4 separate regions of the Mus musculus genome follow, and all the other regions are reported to be linked to region 1. The links are microRNA targets in miRTarBase. Many come from high-throughput screens and were not tested one by one. Region 1 holds a microRNA gene; each other region holds the end of a gene's coding sequence.

Evidence for each region. The annotated mature microRNA mmu-miR-466p-5p reads UAUGUGUGUGUACAUGUACAU and lies in region 1 at 1,739-1,759, shown strand. An mRNA with a match to its seed (bases 2 to 7 or 8) in the 3' UTR can be bound and repressed. Matches are read on the target gene's strand: a 7mer-m8 pairs with bases 2 to 8, a 7mer-A1 pairs with bases 2 to 7 and ends in A, and an 8mer does both.
Region 2: miRTarBase lists Appl1 as a target of mmu-miR-466p-5p. Seed matches in the 3' UTR shown: 8mer at 2,050-2,057.
Region 3: the mRNA of Gatc is a reported target of mmu-miR-466p-5p. Seed matches in the 3' UTR shown: 8mer at 1,208-1,215 and 8mer at 1,270-1,277.
Region 4: the mRNA of Ints8 is a reported target of mmu-miR-466p-5p. The part of its 3' UTR that is shown has no 7-base or 8-base seed match.

What each region holds. Positions count from the first base shown.
Region 1 is chr2:10,504,282-10,509,369 of GRCm38, forward strand. Mir466p (microRNA 466p) reads left to right here and starts at 1,725; the gene lies at 1,725-1,813. All of the region lies in intron 10 of Sfmbt2 (Scm-like with four mbt domains 2), which reads left to right. It overlaps Mir467e (microRNA 467e), which reads left to right and starts at 1,440; the gene lies at 1,440-1,526. It overlaps Mir467d (microRNA 467d), which reads left to right and starts at 3,349; the gene lies at 3,349-3,433. It also overlaps Mir466, Mir297c and Mir669c.
Region 2 is chr14:26,919,539-26,924,538 of GRCm38, reverse strand. It overlaps Appl1 (adaptor protein, phosphotyrosine interaction, PH domain and leucine zipper containing 1), which reads left to right. Exons shown (of 22, transcript NM_145221.2): 22 at 668-5,000. The coding sequence ends at 811. Among named protein-coding and RNA genes, the nearest start is that of Asb14, 27 kb to the right of the region's middle.
Region 3 is chr5:115,330,219-115,335,218 of GRCm38, reverse strand. It overlaps Gatc (glutamyl-tRNA(Gln) amidotransferase, subunit C), which reads left to right. Exons shown (of 3, transcript NM_029645.3): 3 at 625-1,977. The coding sequence ends at 680. It overlaps Srsf9 (serine and arginine-rich splicing factor 9), which reads right to left. Exons shown (of 4, transcript NM_025573.3): 2 at 4,561-4,721; 3 at 2,930-3,102; 4 at 2,139-2,643. The coding sequence ends at 2,500. Among named protein-coding and RNA genes, the nearest start is that of Srsf9, 5.5 kb to the right of the region's middle.
Region 4 is chr4:11,200,294-11,205,293 of GRCm38, forward strand. Ints8 (integrator complex subunit 8) reads right to left here. Exons shown (of 27, transcript NM_001159595.1): 27 at 2,635-4,290. The coding sequence ends at 4,174. Ccne2 (cyclin E2) reads left to right here. Exons shown (of 12, transcript NM_001282943.1): 10 at 1,012-1,123; 11 at 1,897-2,054; 12 at 2,692-4,486. The coding sequence ends at 2,805. Among named protein-coding and RNA genes, the nearest start is that of Ccne2, 11 kb to the left of the region's middle.

The sequences.
Region 1 (5,088 bases):
TGGATCAGGAGTTCTAATTCATGCTTTACTTCATGATGACTTAGAGATATGCCTGGGATTCATGTGATGCCCCCTATGTATCTCTATCTGTATCTGTTTCTATTGTGTGTGGATTTGAGTATATGGATGTACCTATCTACACAAATATATACATGTACACAGACACAAACAGAAACACACACACAAACATCAGTGCAACTCATCGATCCATTTGAATGATATGTGATTTAGAGTTTTAAGATTCCTCAGTACTGAATGGGGAGAGGTCTCACTCAGCAGGTGAAATCCCTTGACAGTGTCAGTTGGATCAGGAGTTCAAATTCGTGCTGAATTTCATGATGAGTTCATGATTAGCATGGGATTCATCTTATGCCCACCAAAAATGTGCAAGTGTGTATAGTTGTGTGCATATTCACTTCTGTATATGAATATGCATATACACGCATGCACACACATTCATAGGAATGGCCAGAGCTATGTCTCAGTTAGGAGGTGAGCACTCTTGCCAGAGTCAGGAGGATGACGAGTTCAAATTCATGTTTAACTCACATTGAGTTAGAGATCAGCATGCGATTCGTGTGATGTCCTCCAAATATGTGCATGTGAGTATAGTTGTGTGCATATTCACTTTTATACATGAATATGCATATATACTCATGCACATACACGAATGTCACTCATATATTTTTTTGAATGTTATGTGACTCAGAGATTTAGAGCTTATGCAGTACTGGTCCAGAGCTATGCCTCAGTTAGGAGGTGAATACTCTTGCCAGAGTCAGGAGGATATGAAGTTCAAATTAATGTTTAACTTCATGATGAGTTATAGATAAGGCTGTAATTTATGTTTTTGCCTCTGTGTACGTGTATATGTCTATAGGTAAGTGTGCTTGTACATGTGGGTATATGTATATGCATATATATACACATATATGGACACATACATGTGTACACAAATACACATGGCAATCATCCATTTGATTTATATGTGCTTAGAGTTTTATAGAGTGCATATTCATGGGACAGGAAACATCTCATTAATCAGATGCAAACCATTTGCCAGAGTCAGGAGGATCTGGAGTTCAAATTCATGTTTAACTTCATGATGAGTTAGAAATCGTACTGGATTTATGTGATGGACCCTAGGTATGTGCATGTGTGTGTAACTTTGTGTGAATGTACATGTATGCATATAATTATACATATACATACACATGCATGCACACATACAGACTTGAATACTCACACACATAAGTATGACTCTCATTGATCAATTTGAATGATATATGTCATTGAATTTTATTGATTATGAAGTAGAAGGACACTGAATGGTCTCACTCAACAGGTGTAAAAAATTGACAGTGTCAAGAGGATCAGGTGTTTAATTTCATGCTTAACTTCATGAAAGAGTGGTGCAATGTGATGGTCCCTATGTATGTGCCTGTGTGCATAAGTGTGAGCATGTATATGTGTGTATATTTTATGCATATACATACACACACCTATATACACATGCACACAGACATGCGGGAATGGCCCTCACGGATCCATTTGAATGATATGTGACCTACTGCTTTGGAGGTTATGTATGACTGGGCCAGAGTGAGGTCTCACAAACCACGGGAAAACCCTTGGTAGAGTCGGGAAGATCAGGAGTGCAAGTTCATGGTAAAGGCATGATGAGTTAGAGGTCATCCTGGCATTCATGTGATTGCCCCTATGTATGTGTATATGTGTTTATGTGTGTGTACATGTACATGTGTGAATATGATGATATATACATACACGCACACATAAGACACATATGAGCACACAGACACACAGGAATGGCACTCACTCATCGATCTATGTGACTGTGAGCTTTGGAGATTATGTATGACTAGATCAGGGAGAGTTATCACCCATCATATTAAAAATGCTTGTTTAAATCAGGAGGTCAGGAGGTCAAATTCATGCTTTATTTCATGATGACTTAGAGATCTGCCTGGGAATCATGTGATGCCCCCATGTATGTGTATATGTGTGTAACTGTGTGTGGATTTGTGTACATGAATATACATACCTACACACACGTAGACCCATACACAGACACACATATGAATGCCACTCCTCAGTCCATTTGAATGATATGTGACTTAGAGTTTTAAGATTCCTCAGTACTGAATAGGGAGAGGTCTCACTCAGCAGGTGAAATCCCTTGCCAGAGTCAGGTGGATCAGGAGTTCAAATTTGTGCTGAATTTCATGATGAGTTGGAAATCAGCACGGGATTCATGTGATGCCCACCAAGAATGTGCATGTGTGTATAGTTGTGTGCATATTCATTTCTCTATATGAATATGCATATGCACACATGCACACACATTCATAGGAATGGCCAGAGTTATTTCTTAGGTAGGAGGTGAATAATCTTGCTAGAGTCAGGAGAATATGGTGTTCAAGTTTATGTTTAACTTCATGATGCATTAGAGATCAGCATGTGTTTCATTGATGCACACCAAAATGTGCATGTGTGTGTAGTTGTGTGCATATTCACTTCTCTATGTGAATATGCATATACACACATGCAGACACAGGAATGGCACTCATATATCCTTTGGAATGGTATGTGACTCAGAGCTTTAGAGCTTATGCAGTGCTGGGCCAGAGCTATGTCTCAGTTAGGAGGTGGATGCTCTTGCCAGCGTCAGGAGGTCCCAGAGTTCAAATTCATGTTTAACTTCCTGATGAGTTACAGATCAGCCTGTTATTCATGTGATTGTTTCTGTGTATGTGTATAGATAAGTTTGTCTGTACATGCGGATATATGAAAAGACATATATTGACACATATTCACACATGCATGCATACAGAAACACATGGCAGTCATCCATAAGTTTTATATGTGCTTAGAATTTCATAGAGTGTATATTTATGGTACAGTGAAATATCTCGCCAACTAGATGAAAACCGCTTGCCAGAATCAGAAGTCTTGGAGTTCAGAATCATGCTTAACTTAATGATCAGTTAGTGATCATCCTGGATTCGTGTGATGGACCCTAGGTATGTACATGCACACATAATTTTGTGTGCATGTACATGTGTGTATATGATTATACATAACACACACACACACACACACACGTATAAAAGCAAGCACACACACACCAAGGTATGGCATTCATCGATCCATTTGAATGATATATGTCTTAGAATGTTACTGATTATGCAGTAGAAGGACAGTGAATGGTCTCACTCACAAGGTGTAAACAATTGGCATTGTCAGGAGGATCAGGAGTTCAATTTCATGCTTAACTTCATGAGCAGTTAGAGATCATCCTGGAATAATGTGATGGCCCCTATGTATGTGCCTGTGTGCATAAGTGCGCGCATGTATATGCGTGTATATTTTATGCATATACATACACACACCTACACACACATGCACACAGACATGCGGGAATGGCCCTCACGGATCCATTTGAATGATATGTGACCTACTGCTTTGGAGGTTATGTATGACTGGGCCAGGGTGAGGTCTCACAAACCACGGGAAAACCCTTGGTAGAGTCGGGAAGATCAGGAGTGCAAGTTCATGGTAAAGGCATGATGAGTTAGAGGTCATCCTGGCATTCATGTGATTGCCCCTATGTATGTGTATATGTGTTTATGTGTGTGTACATGTACATATGTGAATATGATATCCATATACATACACGCACACATAAGACACATATGAGCACACAGGCACACAGGAATGGCACTCACTCATTGATCTATGTGACTGTGAGCTTTGGAGATTATGTGTGACTAGGTCAGGGAGAGTTATCACCCATCATGTTAAAAATGCTTGTTAGAATCAGGAGGTCAGGAGTTCAAATTCATGCTTTATTTCATGATGACTTAGAGATCTGCCTGGGAATCATGTGATGTCCCCATGTATGTGTATATGTGTGTAACTGTGTGTGGATTGTGTATATGAATATACATACCTACACACACATAGACCCATCCACAGACACAGACACACACACGCATGCCACTCCTCAGTCCATTTGAATGATATGTGACTTAGAGTTTTAGAGATTCTGCAGTACTCAATAGGGAGAGGTCTCACACCACAGAGTCAGGTGGATCAAGAGTTCAAATTCATGTTTAACTTCATGATGAGTTAGAGATCAGCATGCTATTCATGTGATGACCATAAAGAATGTGCATGTGTGTATAGCTTTGTGCACATACACTTCTCTATATGAATATGCATATACACGCATGCACACACACTCACTCACAGGAATGGCCAGAGCTATGTCTCAGTTAACTTACCAGGTAAAACGCTTGCCTTTTGGATCAGCAGTTCAAATTCCTGAATAACTTCAAAATGACCTAGGGATCAGCCTGGCCTCATGGCATCCTCCCCCCATATATGTGCATGTGTGTATAGTTTTGTGTATATGTACATGTGTGTATACAAATATACATCTACATACAGACAAACATAAACACACAGGCACGCACACACACACACACACACACGCGCACACACACAGAGGAATGTCACTCATTGATCCTTTTGAATGACAGGTGACTCAGAGCTTTAGAGATTATGCAGGGCTGGGCCAGTGAGTGCTCTCACTCACAAGGTGAAAATGCTTGCTTGCCAGACTTTGGATGACCAGGAATCAAAATTCATGCTGAACTTCATGATGAGTTCGTGATCAGCTTCGGAGTCTTGTGATGACCCTAGTATATATGCCTGTGTGTATATGTATGTGTGCATGTACATGTGTGTATATGAATATACATATACATACACACATACCCATACAAACATGCATACAAACACACAAAAATTGGCACTCATCCATCTATTTGAATAATTAGTGACTTAGAGTCTTAGAGATTCTGTATGACTGGGGCTGACAGAGAGAGGTCTCAGTCACCAGGAGAAGACTTGCTAGATTCAGGGTGATCAGGAGTGCACATTCATGTTAACGGCATGATGAGTTAGAGATCAGCCTGGCATTCATGTGATGCCTCCATGTATGTGCATGTGTGTATAGTTGTGTGTGGATGTGTGTATTTGCATATAAATAACATACACACACAC
Region 2 (5,000 bases), not on the chromosome of region 1:
GTAAAAAGTCTAAAATATAAAATACTCACATGACATAGAACTGTGATTATGAGATTATACAAAGTATTAGAGACCAAATGTATAACACACTTTTAAAGGAGGTTTTGGTCCTAAGGATCAAACCTATGAAAGAGTCATTCAAGGGCGTGGCATCGATGGTAAGAAAGAAGAGAGAAGGTAACTGGGGAACATGGATGTGAAGAGAACACAGGAACTGGAAGTGAGCTGGGTACAGGGCTGAGAAGAGAAAATGGCAAAGACAGCACAGAAAGAAGGGCAGCTTAGGAGAGGGGAAGTGACACTTGATTTAGCAAGATAAACAGGGCAGGAGTAGAGAAGACCTGAAGAGTGTATAGTGGGTGCAGAGTGGTGTATGAGAGAAGACAGTCAGAACTCAGTTATTAGCCACAAAAGGAGGGGGGCTTTGCTCTTTCTTAATTATTTTTTTTGCATGTTTGCTTTTTGGGATTATTCAAATGGTGCCAAAATTCATGCTGGTGTTTTCATTTGTTGCATCTAGCCTTTCTTTTCATTAGGTTATCAGAATGAGTGCATGTGACAAGATTGGAACAGCTCTCATGTATAGTAGAGCTCCATCGGAAACTGCATAGTTTTTTATCTGACTGCTGACAGTTAAATTTAGTTTCTTTCTTTATCTTTCCACCAGGACTTGGAAGAACAGAGTCGGTTGATAGCTGCCTCCAGTAGACCAAACCAGGCTGGTAGTGAGGGCCAGCTTGTTCTTAGCAGTAGCCAATCAGAGGAGAGTGATTTGGGAGAAGAAGGGAAAAAAAGAGAGTCGGAAGCATAAACTTGTTGCTGCTTTTTGAGTTCTCATTTCCCTGGGATGTGGCACAGCGTATCCATGCTGAAGATCATGGAAGAGATAAGCTTTACAGTAGTGTGCTTCAGCTTCATTTAAAAAGACTGAACTTGATAACCGGTTATAGCGAACATTTCCCCGTAAAAATAAAATACTATGCATTGTCATCCAACTCTGCTTTCCTAAACAAGACCTGCTTACTTTTCTGTAGTAGATTGCTGAGGAATTACAGGTCTTCAAGATATTTTTCCTTTAAATTGTGAACATTTTATCTTGCACTGTAATTGGCTGTCTCCATAAGGAATGATTTATTCTTGGATTCTGACATTCCTGTGTATACTCTCCCTTTCATTAGGAATGTTTTATTGGTAGTGAGGGAGGGCTCAATTGAGTGAGCTTAACATCCTTTATGTGGAGAATTCTATAAGTGTGCAAGTGTTGTAACAATATTGAGTGTGCAATAGAATTTGCACAAAATCACAAGGACGGGGCAGGTGGTGCTGTTGACTTCAGGATGTTTTGTGGCTTGCTCCATTTCTCTGATGTACTAGATCATGGCAGTGGGAGACCTCAAGTGTCTGTTGGTGTTTGTGTGGCACTTGGTATTTTGTTACCATCTTCTCAGTTCTCAGGTTGGGACTTTACTTATTGCTGCAGAACAGGAAAGGTTAGAGAGTAAGACTTCAGAATTTATTGAGATTGTTGTTGTTCAAACATTTTATATTAGAATTGACATGTAAAGGGAGTGTTGTAGACTGATACATTGTATTTTCTGTATTGTGAAATAATTTTTAAATGACAATGAGTGACATTTCAAAAGATGTTCTATAACAATTATGTTTATTGCTTAAATAAAAATGTGCAGTTTAGTTTAGAAAACAATCTTTTGAATTTCAGACTGATAACCCCAGTATTTTCATAATCCCACATTTTGATAATGTATTGAATTGCCACTTTTTATCCATAAAGGCAAATAACTAATTTGAGTGTAGAATAATTTGCACTAATAATTGTAAATACTTTTACTTTTCAAATGAGTAAAAGGTCTAATTCCATGAAAGACTGAAAAGGAACTGAACACCTCATATAGTGCAGGACAGAGTTAGCGTGTACTGAGGGTGATTCTGTCAAAACTTTCTTTACTAGGACTTTAAACTGTGTTTACAGATTTTATTTTCATTCATTCTACATGAAAAGGTGTGTGTGTGTGTGTGTGTATATATACACACACATATGTATACAGGTTAAATATATTGATTAGTATTTTACATAGTCATACATTTAGAGATTTTCAAAAGGTTAACCACTAATTTCACAAGTAGTTTCTCTTTGTTCTGAATTAGAAGTTTTAGTTTTCAGCTTATAGCTCCGTTTCACACTCTGTAAGTACACTGTTTTCTGTAGGAACAAGATAACGATATATATAGGATCATATTCTTTTTCTCCATTTGCCAAATGAGACTAATGGTTATTTACTACTCTTCAAAGTCTTCTGTTACCCAAACATACAGTTAATAATTATCAATTTATGGAGTGCATTTGGCTAAAAGTCTGTTTTGGGCTTACTAAAGGGAATGCCTTCATAGTAAGTAGTGTTTCCTCTGTTAAAACTGTGAACTGCTGTGGTTAGACCGTGATTAGTGGTGACAAGTCTTGCTTTTAAAACTTTTTTTGATATTGGTAAGGCTTCTTGTTTTGTTGTTGTTGTTGCTATTGATTTTATTTTGTTTTTGTTTGTTGATTTTCGCAGTGATCAGTTACTAAACTACCACAGAGCCACACCCCCACCCCAGGTTTTCAGTTTCATGAATCTTTTCTTGATGGAAGACGTCATGCTTGCTTCAGATGAACTGTGTTTTATAGTAAGAGTAGTCATCAGGAGGCACTTTTATTTGGTTGGTGCTTTGCATGGTAACAAAATAGTGATATTTGGATAAAAATTTAGGCCAGAGGTAAGAATTTTCTAATTCTTTTTAAGTCATGTTTCATAGGAACTCCCCCAGTTGTGTTCATGTCCATGGGTCAGACCAAAATGTGTTCCAGTGCCTAGGACGCATTCTGAGTGGATCAGTCCGTTTCAGTGATTTAACTTGTATCACTATTAAACTGTATGCAATTCTGCACATCAGCTGTAGTCAGCTCTCTGCTTGAAGAAGGCTCCTGTCAGCTTCTTCCTAAATGTTAGTACAGATGTCATTCTGTTATACTATCCGCCAAGATCTCCCACAACTTTTTTATTTTGGGGGAGGCACAGAATTGATTTTCTTGTTCTGAGTTTGGGTTCATTCCTGTCACGGTCACTGAGCCAAGGCAAGTAGACCTTGCCTCTTCAGTCTTAGTCCTGCGGGCGTCTGCTCAGATTCTCTTCCATATTCAAAATGCCCTGGAAAAGCTTCACTGTTTTAATACGTCCTAGATGTTCAACTGAAGCAGAGCGAAGAAATGGCCCTCCCAGCCCCATCCACCTAAAACAAAACCAGCAGCTGCTGCTACAGCCATTATGAAAAAATAACACAAACTCTTCTTAAAAAATAGATCACACAGAAAGAACTGAGGGCAGATGCACCTGGGGGGAGGGGGGGGAGGGCTGCCCCAGCCACGGGGAGAGGCCTGGGTGCTGAGATGACCCTGCAGGGCTGGGGTGCTAGTAGGTGGCTGCCTCCTTCCTTCTGCCTAGCCTCTGTAGTGTGGGCTGGATCCCAGGCATCTTCTGCCCTCTCCCCTGAGGGATCCTGGCCCCTGCTGAGGACTGGTACCTATTTCTCATTAAAGTGGCTTTGATCAGGAAATGAGATGGACACCAAGCATGAGTGAGGGCCACTGCCTGGCTACATGTCTCCCAGCTTTTTAGAAATTAACAAAGTTGCTTTTTAAAAAATGAAATTTAGCCTACCTAATTATACTCTGCATTCTGTTACCTATAGCTAATCTTGTTTTTTTCCATTACTTAATGATTGATTGGTGTTCAATTTCAAAAGTGTTCCAAGCTCCACAGTGTTGGGATGAGGATGTTGCCGTTATTTTTGAGAAAAGGATCGTAAGATGTGCATAACATTGTAGGTAGCATGGTTTTGTGCAGTGAACACACAAGTAACTACAGGAGCTGCACTCTTCACAGTTTGAACTGACAGTGCTGGCAGACCCTTAAAGCAGAGTCTTCTGACACACGAATGAAAGGAAATATTTGCTTCTAATAACAGTCTGAGCATTTAGATCATACTTTTAAGTATTTAAACACACCATTGTATATGGCAAGCAAACTTTTAATTTTATTTTTAGCAAGTTTATTTCTCTTTGAAATTGTCATTCTACATTAATAACATAAAGATTTTAAACTAGAACCATACTGAACTTTTTTAATGATAAGATGAAATGGACTTTAAAGGAAAAATTATTTAAAACTTTGTTAATAAGCCTCAATAGCATAAAATACTAATGTTAATCAAAATACTTCTAAGTATTTTTAAAGTACTTTAAAAATCTCCATCGGGCTAATTCCTATGTATTTCTTTTCCAGGAATATTATTCTTAATAGCATAAGCTTATTAAGACTAAATGGAAGTTGAAGGATTAGGCACACCTAGAGCAGTGGCTTCACCGTTTGATTCTCATTTCTCTGTGGTTTCCACCTCTTATCAGGAGCTGCCCTGGAAAGGATCCGGTCATGCTGCCTGCCTCTTTTCATCTGTCATGATGGATTTCATCCCTTTCACGGGCCTCTCCATCCTCTCTTTCCACATGGGTTGTGAGCCCAGCATTCCTGTCTCTGGCTTCCTGGGCCACTGCTCTAAGTTTCTCTTCATGCTTCTTTTCTTTTTGAGTCATCTTACTTTCTACTTGGGCTTGCATTTCCACTGCTGCTCAAGCCTTCTGATCAGCAATGTATAGTGTTTCAGCCAGTTTGGCAAATTTTTCACTTATATGGACCATCTGAAGTCCTCTTCCATCAGCAGCTAGCCATTTATCTAATGGAATGGTATACCCCTTAGAGTTCTTCCACTTGGAAATACAAGGAGGGATTTTCCACTTCTGCTGTTTCTTTACAGTCATCTTCTGAAGAGGAGAGTGCATTACAAGTGCAGGAGGAGATGATGGTCCCTGAGGGATTTTCGTATTAACTTTGAATCTTGGATGCTCCATTTGGTCTTTTTGCATTTCTGCTATCCAGTTAACCCTG
Region 3 (5,000 bases), not on the chromosome of region 1:
GCCTATTTGCTTGGGAAATTAAGTATATGACATCTGTCTGGCATTTCCTCAACTTTATTGGCAATCAATTCAAATAAGACTTAACAGTGCCACACAGGCCAGCAGAAACATACCTGTAAGTATGCCAGCCAGCCATGGTTTGTAATCCCTGATATAGCAACTTGCATTTCCAGGCTCACTGTACACAGTTTAGAACTTCTTGTCTCCTGTGCATGAGTTCTCAGAGCTGCCAGCAGTCAGCAATAAACCCTGTGAGCGGGAGGACGGAACTCTATGCTAACCATGCTGTCTGCCTTGGCTGGCTAAAGATCCTTACAACCCTGCCATGGCAGGGCCAGTAGTTCCTCCTACTTCATCATGTGTACCAACGGATCACACTGCAGACAGGACCTTGCTCCTGACAGAGGTTTAGTCTGTCTTTCACTCTTACCTGCATCTGTTCCTTGCACTGAACAGCAGGGATCTGGCTTCACTCTGAACCGTTAACTGATGCTTGAGAGTTAGGAAGAAGGACGGCACCAATACTTACTTCCAGTTCTCCGTGAAATCCAAGTGACCAGTTAGTTTAGGAGAGCCAGCTGGACATCAGGCTCAACTCTAATGTTCTTCTTATTTTTCAAACAGGTAATATTTCCTTGCCAGACATGGTAAACAAGATTCCTTCTTCCACAGCAGAGTAGCTATTCTGGGGAAGGGGCACCCTGTCAACATGGTGGACTCACAAGGGTGGTCATTTGCTACTGTGAACTCTATCTAGTATAAACTGGATTTACAGTTTCTTGGTAATTGATCCGAAGACAACTGGACAACACCCAGCTAGCAGAAAACCACAAGCCTGCTTCCAAGGAAATGGATCAAATACTCAGACTCATTCTGTCTGAAAAACAACTTCCTCCCTCCTCTGCCCCTAAAAAACACTACCTTGTCAAAATATCTATGTGGACTTTTCTGTTTAGGTGTAAGAGACAGATGACCTGAGATGAAGAGACAAATCAGTTCTTTTTAGTTGCTTTCCCACTGGCTTCAGAGCCAGCACATCACCATCTGTTTCTGGGTACCTACCTTATGCCTACCAGAGGGCTCGTTTTATGGATATGTTTGAGTAGTATCAAAGTAAACTACAGCCGGGAACTCCTAATTCAGAACCATCTTTCTTTCTCAGAAGGCCATCCAACCTCCACCTTGCACTCAGTCCATGAACAACATACACACATACACACACACACACACACACACACACACACAGTATACGTGAACACCCAACCCCCACACACATACCATGCAATATGAACACCAGCCAAATAGTTCCTTTCTGAAAAGAGAACTTGTTAAAAATAGCCCTAGGCCCGTCTTCATTCTTTCTCTTCCCTTTATCTGCAATGTCTGTGTCCCACACACACACCCTTTTCTTGTTGCTCAGATAGGCCTCTCTGTACATCAGGCTGGCCTTGAGCACACAGCTATCTTCCTGCTACAGCCTCCCAAGCACAGGGGTTGGAGGCCTGAGCCACCTCAGTGAACTCCTATTATGGAGAGTTCAGTTTACAATGCCAGATCTGAATTGTAAGAACTCCGAGTCTGGGTCAGAGATCCCTCAGTCATTCAGAGACCTTCCTATCCCAGGTATGGTGGCTCCGTGTCTTTCATTTCATTCCAACACTTGGGAGGCAAAAGCCAACAGATCCCTGAGTTCAAGGCTAGCCTGGTCTACAGAGCCAGAATTATTCTGAGAAACCCTCTCTGGAAAAGAAAATGGAAAGAAAGAAAAACATCAAACCAAAGAAACAAACCCTCCTGTTCTTCATCCTGAGCTGAGTCGGGCTCTGGTGCCCACCTCAACTCAAGGTGACCCATGACCTCCTGCAATTCCAGCTCCACAGGGGTTGATGCTGTCTTTCTGGCCTCTGTAGGCACTAACACACACGCGGCATAAACATGTAAATAAAAACCAACCTTTAAAATAAAAAAAACAGAGTCTGCCTTTGGTGCTGATTTTTTACAATCGCCACCATTACTCTGGCAGAGTGATGAAGTTTCTGTTCCTTACAAACTTCCATGACAACTCAAATGATGGTTCTCTTTGGTCAGTACCTATCAGATGAAACCTACATACTCAATCAAAGACAACTGCACGCCAATTACTAAACATTTAAAATATATTTCTGAACAAAACGGGCCCCTCGGGCCCCATCTCCGAGCAGAGCAGCCCATGAAGATGCAGCACTGATTTCCGTCCCATAGTCAGGGTGAAAAATGTACAGCTTGTTCCTGAACCACAGACACACCTTCTCTCTGCAGCCTAACAGGTCACTGCTAGTATGGTGGCTCTAGCCGAAATTATGTAGTTCCTTAAAATAAAAAAAATAAAATAAAATAAAAATAAAAGGAAAGAAAAGAAAAAAAATGTCCTAAGACTCTAATCAATCTGGAATGTAGACTCTGAGCACAAAGTAGCCCAGCTCATCTAAAAAACTGAAGAGACCCTTCCTTCCCACCCCCTCAGTAGGGCCTGAAAGGAGAGAAGTAGTGTGGCGAGCCCCGGCTTTGGTATGGCGAGTCGCGGCCCCTGGACCCAGACCGCGACCGTGAGTAGCCATAGCTGGTGCTTCTCTCAGGATACACTCGGATGTAGGAAGTCTCACCCTGAAATCCAAACAAACAGAAGGGAAGAGTGAAGACCCAGAGGCACGAGCAAAGCCCAGCCCTGGCACTCACTGTGTGCCTGGCATTGTCACCTCCCTCAACGTTCACTGTCACACGGAGGTGGGTACCCGTCCTCTCCGTTTCAAACGGAGGCTATAAGCAGAGCAACCCCCGTAGCTCTGTTCACTCTAGACAGGCTTTAAGGTAGAGTGACATCATCAAATGAAAAAAGTACGACCCGCTATTATTGCTGGTCAATTAGACTTAATGGAAGGCAGGAACCCACCTCGTGAGAGCGGAATTTGGTGTCATCCAGTTTACGCAGAGCATATTCCATGTCCTCTTTTCTCAAATATTCAACCATCCCCATTCCGTCCTTCTGTACGTCTGCATAACAGACATCCCCAGCTTCTCGCATGTGATCTTTCAGGTCCTGCCAGCTGCCTGATGGAGGAAGTCCTAGGCAGAGAATGGAAGAGAAGACCACAACCTCAGCCGTGCTAAATGCCCTATGAGAGCTGGCTATGCCTACGGTGGTCTACGCTCTGTGGTCACTTAATTCTTAAGGGTTCCCAAGTCACAAAGCATATGGGGCAGAGAACCAGAGAAATATACTGAAGTATATATGGTAAGCCACTGTGAGAAGCTGGTCTAAGTTAACTGTCCAGAGACCAAAAAAGCTCCCAACTAAGCAAACAAATCCGCCTATCACAGGCTTTCAACCTCTGAGAATTTACCACTCTGTGCTTCACAATCAATGTGACACTCCCCAAACCTAGTTCCAGGTTTTATCCATTAGGAAACTTATTAGTACCAAGTATTTCTTGCTGAACTTATTTTTCCCAAGACATGAGAGTTTTGAAAAAAGCCAAGTGCAGCCAAGGGAACAGCACAAGAGTCCGTGTTTTGTTTGTTTCTTTACAGCATGACTGGCTGACAGAGCACAGAATACCTCCTTAAGAGAACAACACTCCTCACTACAGTGGGGAAGGGGACACTCAGACGCTAAAGCTAGTTGGGAGTCATACGACCCTACCTGGTGTCATGAAAGGGAAATGTGCTCCTGCTCTCAAAGGCTGTGTTTGCTGCGCACAGCTCGGGACTGCAGCCATTTCCTAATAGTTTTCTAAGCAGGAGTTCAGAGCAGCATGGAGAGAAAAAAAGATAATGTATGACATCTTGAAGGAGGGAGTGGAGTCCTAGGGTTAAAAACTACAGAGGAACACAGGGAGACAGATTCCATCACTCGTACACATGACTATGATTGTGGGACTGTCACACTCTAGAAGGGCCCCTCAACTGCCCTGTGACGTGCAGAGGGCCCTGCCCGGGGTCTTGGCACTGCACTGATATTTTAAAGACACAGCTGAGCTGAGCACTTGGCACGTCATCTGGTGACACCAGTTATAAATAAAAGCTCTATGCCTTCCAATGCCATGCCCACGATTGTACATTGCGTGCAGCTGGCTCCTGTGATGTCTAGGAAGGAACATTCCCAGAGGAAAGAACTCTGGAGCAAGTGCTCTCCCACCATCTTGGCCTCTCACCAGTAAGAAAGCACTCTAAGAAACGTGTTTCTCAGACCATGGTGGCACACGCCTTTAATCACAGCGCTCAGGAGGCAGAGGCAGGGGGATCTCTGTGAGTTCGAGGACAGCCTGGTCTACAGAGTGAGTTCTAAGACTACACAGAGACTGGTTCAGAACAAAAAGAGCAGTAGGTTTCCGTCCCACATAGGCTGCATTACTTGCACGGTTTCATCCGTACAATGTCTGCCTCCCTGACTAACCAGGGCAGAGCTTTCCGCTGCCCGGGTGCACTGGCTCCTGAGAAGCCAGCATGTCCCACGTCCTCAACACTAAGCCACACACTTCCTTGAAGGCTAGACTCTCGTTCAGCAAAGTGGTGAGAACATACCTGAAACAAGAACTCGGAAATCTGACCGTCTTGTAGGAGGCCCGTTCCTTGCACCACGGGGCCACCCACCCCGACCTCCGTAAGTCCTGGGGAACTCCACACGGAGTCGACACTGGCCATAATCGTAACCGTTTCTTCCATAGATCGCATCCTCAGCATCTCTGCAAGGCAAAGACTGAGATCAGTGCTACCCCACAGCCTGGGTGACTTCTCCATGGAGGGCGAGAGTCACTGAGCAGGGAGGGAAGTCAGCCAGAGGGAACAGGGAGATGGACACCAGACACAAGCTTGCCACACTTGCGCTCAGGTGGAGGGCCGTTCACATTACTCAAAGTTTGACAGCTGGGACAGCAAGATGGCTCAGCCAGGGCATGCACACACTCTGAAGTGCAAAATATGTTAAGAAACTGAAAGTGCAAAATATACCCAGAAACTGAAAA
Region 4 (5,000 bases), not on the chromosome of region 1:
CAAAGAAAACAGGCACATTAAAAATATTCTATAAAATTGAGGATATTTGTTTGTGAATTGAGTTCTGACATGAGTTTCAGCTCCCAAGAGATCTCACATACTTGTAAATACTTTAAGATTCCAAACATCCAGATTTGAAAATACTGGTCTCAAGTATTACTTAGATAATAATCTGTGGTAGTATTTCACTTGCAACTCCTCCAGTTTCTACCACCTTCTTACCTGATGTGTGAGTACAAATACTAAGTTTTATTCAATGGACAGGAAATCAGCTTAACCTTCTGAAATCTGGCTGTGCAACTACTACTCTTCCTGCATTACCAAGATAATACACCACTTACCTAGCTAGTTGCTAAGAATGTTGCATTCTAAGCCGGGCGTGGTGGCGCATGACTTTAATCCCAGCACTCAGGAGGCAGAGGCAGAGGCAGAGGCAGGTGGATTTCTGAGTTCGAGGCCAGCCTGGTCTACAGAGTGAGTTCCAGGACAGCTAGGGCTACACAGAGAAACCCTGTCTCGAAAAACCAAAATAAAATAAAATAAAATGTTGCATCCTAGTCTGTCTAGTTTACTGCGTCCTTTTAAAAATGAAACTGCTGATTTAAAATCCCACAGTGGGCTTAAGTAGTAGTGCTCCAACTTGTAAAGGTCCTGTATGATGTAACAAAGCTACTAGATTTCCTTGCTTTCCACTGCCCACCTTGGATAAGGAACAAAGGTTTTCCTTGCTTATTATTTCATGAGAATTATTACCTTTGGCAACGTTCTGTTTCAAACATTCTCTCTCACCAATTTTCTGGCCTAGCCCGTTACCTAATTCAAAAGCCCTCACAAGCTTTTTCCAATCTAGATGAAGTGCTCACCCTTCTAACATTATCACTGTGCTCCTAGAACTTACTCCCTTTCCTGCAATTCTGAGTCTGGATGGTAGCTTATTTACTTTATAGTTATATATAAAATAGGGACTCATTTATGTTTCTCTTAAATTACCTTTTTTTTTTTCCTTGTTAGCTTTTAGATCTGTGCATTCTAGCCATCGACTCTTTAGAATTTCAATACAGAATTCTGGCTGCTGCCGCCTTATGTCATTTTACCTCCATTGAAGTGGTTAAGAAAGCTTCAGGTAAGACTATTTTGTTGACTTTGTACCTGTTCACAACTTTTTTTTTTGGTTTTTGGTTTTTTGAGACAGGATTTCTCTGTGTAGCCCTGCTGTCCTGGAACTCACTCTGTAGACCAGGCTGGCCTCAAACTCAGAAATTCACCTGCCTCTGCCTCCCGAGTGCTGGGATTAAAGGCGTGCGCCGCCACACCCGGCTGTTCACAACTTTTAATGGAACTACAGATACCTTAATACCTTACCAAACACAAAATAAAACAATTTAGTTGATTTTTATTTTGCTAAAAGTACTTAACCCTTAGTGTATTTCCATAGTCATAAAAGAAAATAAATTCCCAGCCAAGTGGAAATCAAATACCACAATTTTAATTTGTATGAATAGAAACTGGTTTAAAAGCTTAGAAGTGAGCCTGGAAAAATGGATCAGTGGTTTAAAGCACATACTGTTCTTGGAGAAGACCCAGGTTTGTTTCCTAGCCCTCATATCTTGTTCTAGCTCCAGAATATCTAACACTCTTCTGATCTCTGGGCACTTGTGTACATGTATACACATTCACATAAATATAAATCTTTAAGCAAAAAACAAGAACAAAAAACACCTACCCTCAAGAGAGTCAGATGAGTAGCAAATCCTATAATCCCAGCACTGAGGCCAAATCAAGAGGGAAGCCAACCTGTGCTACAGAATGACCCTTGAGAAAACTATTAATTCTTTTCAGCTTTAACGTCATGTAAGGAACAGTTTGATTAACATTGTATTAACTTTTTAAATCTAGGTTTGGAATGGGATGACATCTCGGAATGTGTAGACTGGATGGTGCCTTTTGTTAGTGTTGTAAAAAGTGTGAGTCCAGTGAAGCTGAAGACTTTTAAGAAGATACCCATGGAAGATAGACACAATATCCAGACACACACAAATTATTTGGCTTTGCTGGTATGGTTTTTTGTTTTATGTGTTTTATGGGAGGTTGTTTTTTTTTTTTTTTTTTTTTTTTTTTGCTGCCTTATCTTTCATTGTTTTTAAAAATCGTGCTATTTAGTTAAGTCCTGAAACTAATGGGGTAGAAGTTAGCAAAGTTTATCTAAGGTCTGAAACTACTGTGCATTACTACTTAAGACAGTTATTTAAGATGATAAATGGGAAAGTAATGACCATGTTGACTTAAAATATAAGGGAGATAACTAAATTAAGGCAGACTTGATGATAAGGGCCTAGGATGCACACTAACTAGTACTAGGGAGGCTGAGGCAGGAGGATCATAAGTTCCCAGGCCACATAGTAAGACCCTATCTCAAGAAAAATATTACTGTTAAGCAGCTTAAAATCAAGACCAGCAGCCCAGATAAGAAATTAGAAAGTTTTGTTGAAATAAACAAGGCTGATCTCTAACTCGGGGATCCCTCTGCCTCTCAAGTGCTAAGATTAAAGGTATGTACCACCCCCCAGCCCCCAACAAAGATAGAGACTCTAAAATTAAGTTTGGATAGAAAAAATTGGTAGAGGTCTGGTATTACTACATACTTAGTTTATCTTAACTGTTAATTACTGAATAATTTCTTCACATGTACAGAATGAAGTAAACTATGTGAACATCTACAGAAAAGGAGGGCAGCTGTCACCAGTGTGTAATGGAGGCATTATGACACCACCAAAGAGTACTGAAAAACCACCAGGAAAACACTGAAGTTAACAACCTGGAATTGAACAAATAATGGATAGTTTCATATAAATGAGTTTTACAGAAAAGTAGTGCTGTAACTATCCTTGTCTAAGGAGTTACACTGCCATTCTTTTACTTAAAAACTATATCAATTTGGCACTAAATGCCTAGGATGCACAAAATCCTGGGTTCAATCCCCAGCACTACAAAAGGAAACAAAACAAAAACTTCAAAAAATTGGCACTAAAGAAGTATTTCCTATAAAAGAGAACTTGTTTACAAAGGTGACTTCACTCCCAAGGATAGTGGATGGAAGCCAACAATTTAAGCTATAGCAGTTGTTTCTGTTTGTTACTGTGTTTCTTTAAAATTCAGTGTTACTGTATTTCTTTTGATGAACTAGGAATTTTATCATTGGAATATGGACTAAACTAGTGCTACCTTAAAGGATACATTAGCTGACACAGAACTTTGAATCTAGATTTTATATTCTTAAATTCCTATACTCTTGAATGGTGCAATTTGTTTTTGAAAATAAATTTTAAGCTTATTTACAAAGGTTGTTTTGTAATAAAGTGACTAATTTATCTAAAGCAGTTTGTAACAAACGATAAAACTTGAATTTTATGAATGGTAAAGTTCAATCTGTTTTGAACTAGTTTGTCTGCCTTGCCATATTTCTTAATCAGTAAGGCACTGAACCAAATGTTTAAACTGTGCTCTAAATGGGAGAACCAAAGAAATTATAAACAAGATATAAATGCTTTGGCTTCTTCTACTCGGGGGTTTTACTTGATAGAAAGGTTGCTTTATAATCTTTTTGTGTATCACAATTTGGGTAAAATTAAACACTTTTTCAAACTATATAAGAAAGTCACTTTATTGCACACTAAGATATCTCTAAGGCGCTTTATGTTTGCAAAACTGGTGGTCCATTTTTAAGCCCCATATTATGAGATGAGGACTGTGTCAACATGAAAAAACTTTAACATATGACCTAAACTATTTTCTTATGGCAGAAAATATTAAATGTATACTTACTCCTAGAAATTTATTTATTTAAACTTGCTGTATATAGAATAGCTACTTATACATTAAATATTTTAAGTTAGCCTTTGAAAAGGAAATTTGGGCCTAAAAAAGTTAATTTCATTAGAAAAAAAATGGTACCAGGCATGAACCTTGTCTCTCTTTGAAGAAATTATAAACTATTGTTAAGATATGAAGTTTTTGTATAATTTGTTTATAAACTAATTTGTTTCAGTTTGTTTTGGTCTAAAAAGAAAACACCACTAAATTGTACATATGTATTATATAAACTTAATCTTTTAATACTGTTTACTTTTAGCCCACTGTTTAAAAAATAAAATTGAAAAAAAATTAACTAACTGCTTAAAAGTAAAGTTTTGCCATTGCTTGTAGAAACTTCTTTTTCCTTCTCTGTGCTGCCAGCTGTAATACTTCTTCAGGGTTGCTTGCATTCAATTCTGTTTGGCCAATGGCTTTGATCTTAAAACAGAAAAGTGTTATTAGAAGTTTGACTGAAAAAAATTGTCACAGTAGTACACATAACTCAAAGTTAAAGTTAACTAAATCAAATTAAAAACTACAGAAAAAAATGGCATCACATTGATCCACTTTTAGTATGGTTACCTGGAGGGACATTTAGTTACACTAAATAAATTTCTGTATGCTTATGTGATTGTATATAAGATGGTTGTCTTTAGTAACAACATCTTTATAGTTAAAGTTTGAAAGAAATCACAAGTCATGTTTCATAAACGGGCAAAGTAGCTATGTTCTCAGAAGTAATTAGAAACACCATGACCTACTAAGTTAAAAATCTAGTTTTGTGTTTTAACTGTCTGTCTCTGACCGAAATTTTAAAGCTATAATTAGACTAGAACTTTCTGGATCAAGGAATGCATATGGGCAAAGGCTGGTGGTGGGGTGGTAATACCTTAAACAAGCCATGGCATCTCAGATAATTGGTAGAGAAGCACAGGTATTTGAGAGAAATCATACACCTCATCCGTGTGGGTGCTATAAAAATCGTGACAGGATTGATAAGGAACAGTGGGCTGAGTGAACAGCCCTGTGATGGAGCACTTCATTAACATGTATGAGGCCATGGATCTGTCTCTAGCTCTGTGACCGAAACTAAGAAAGAGCAAAGGAAGGCCCAAGGACTACCTACCTAGAGGATGAAATTTAAGAAT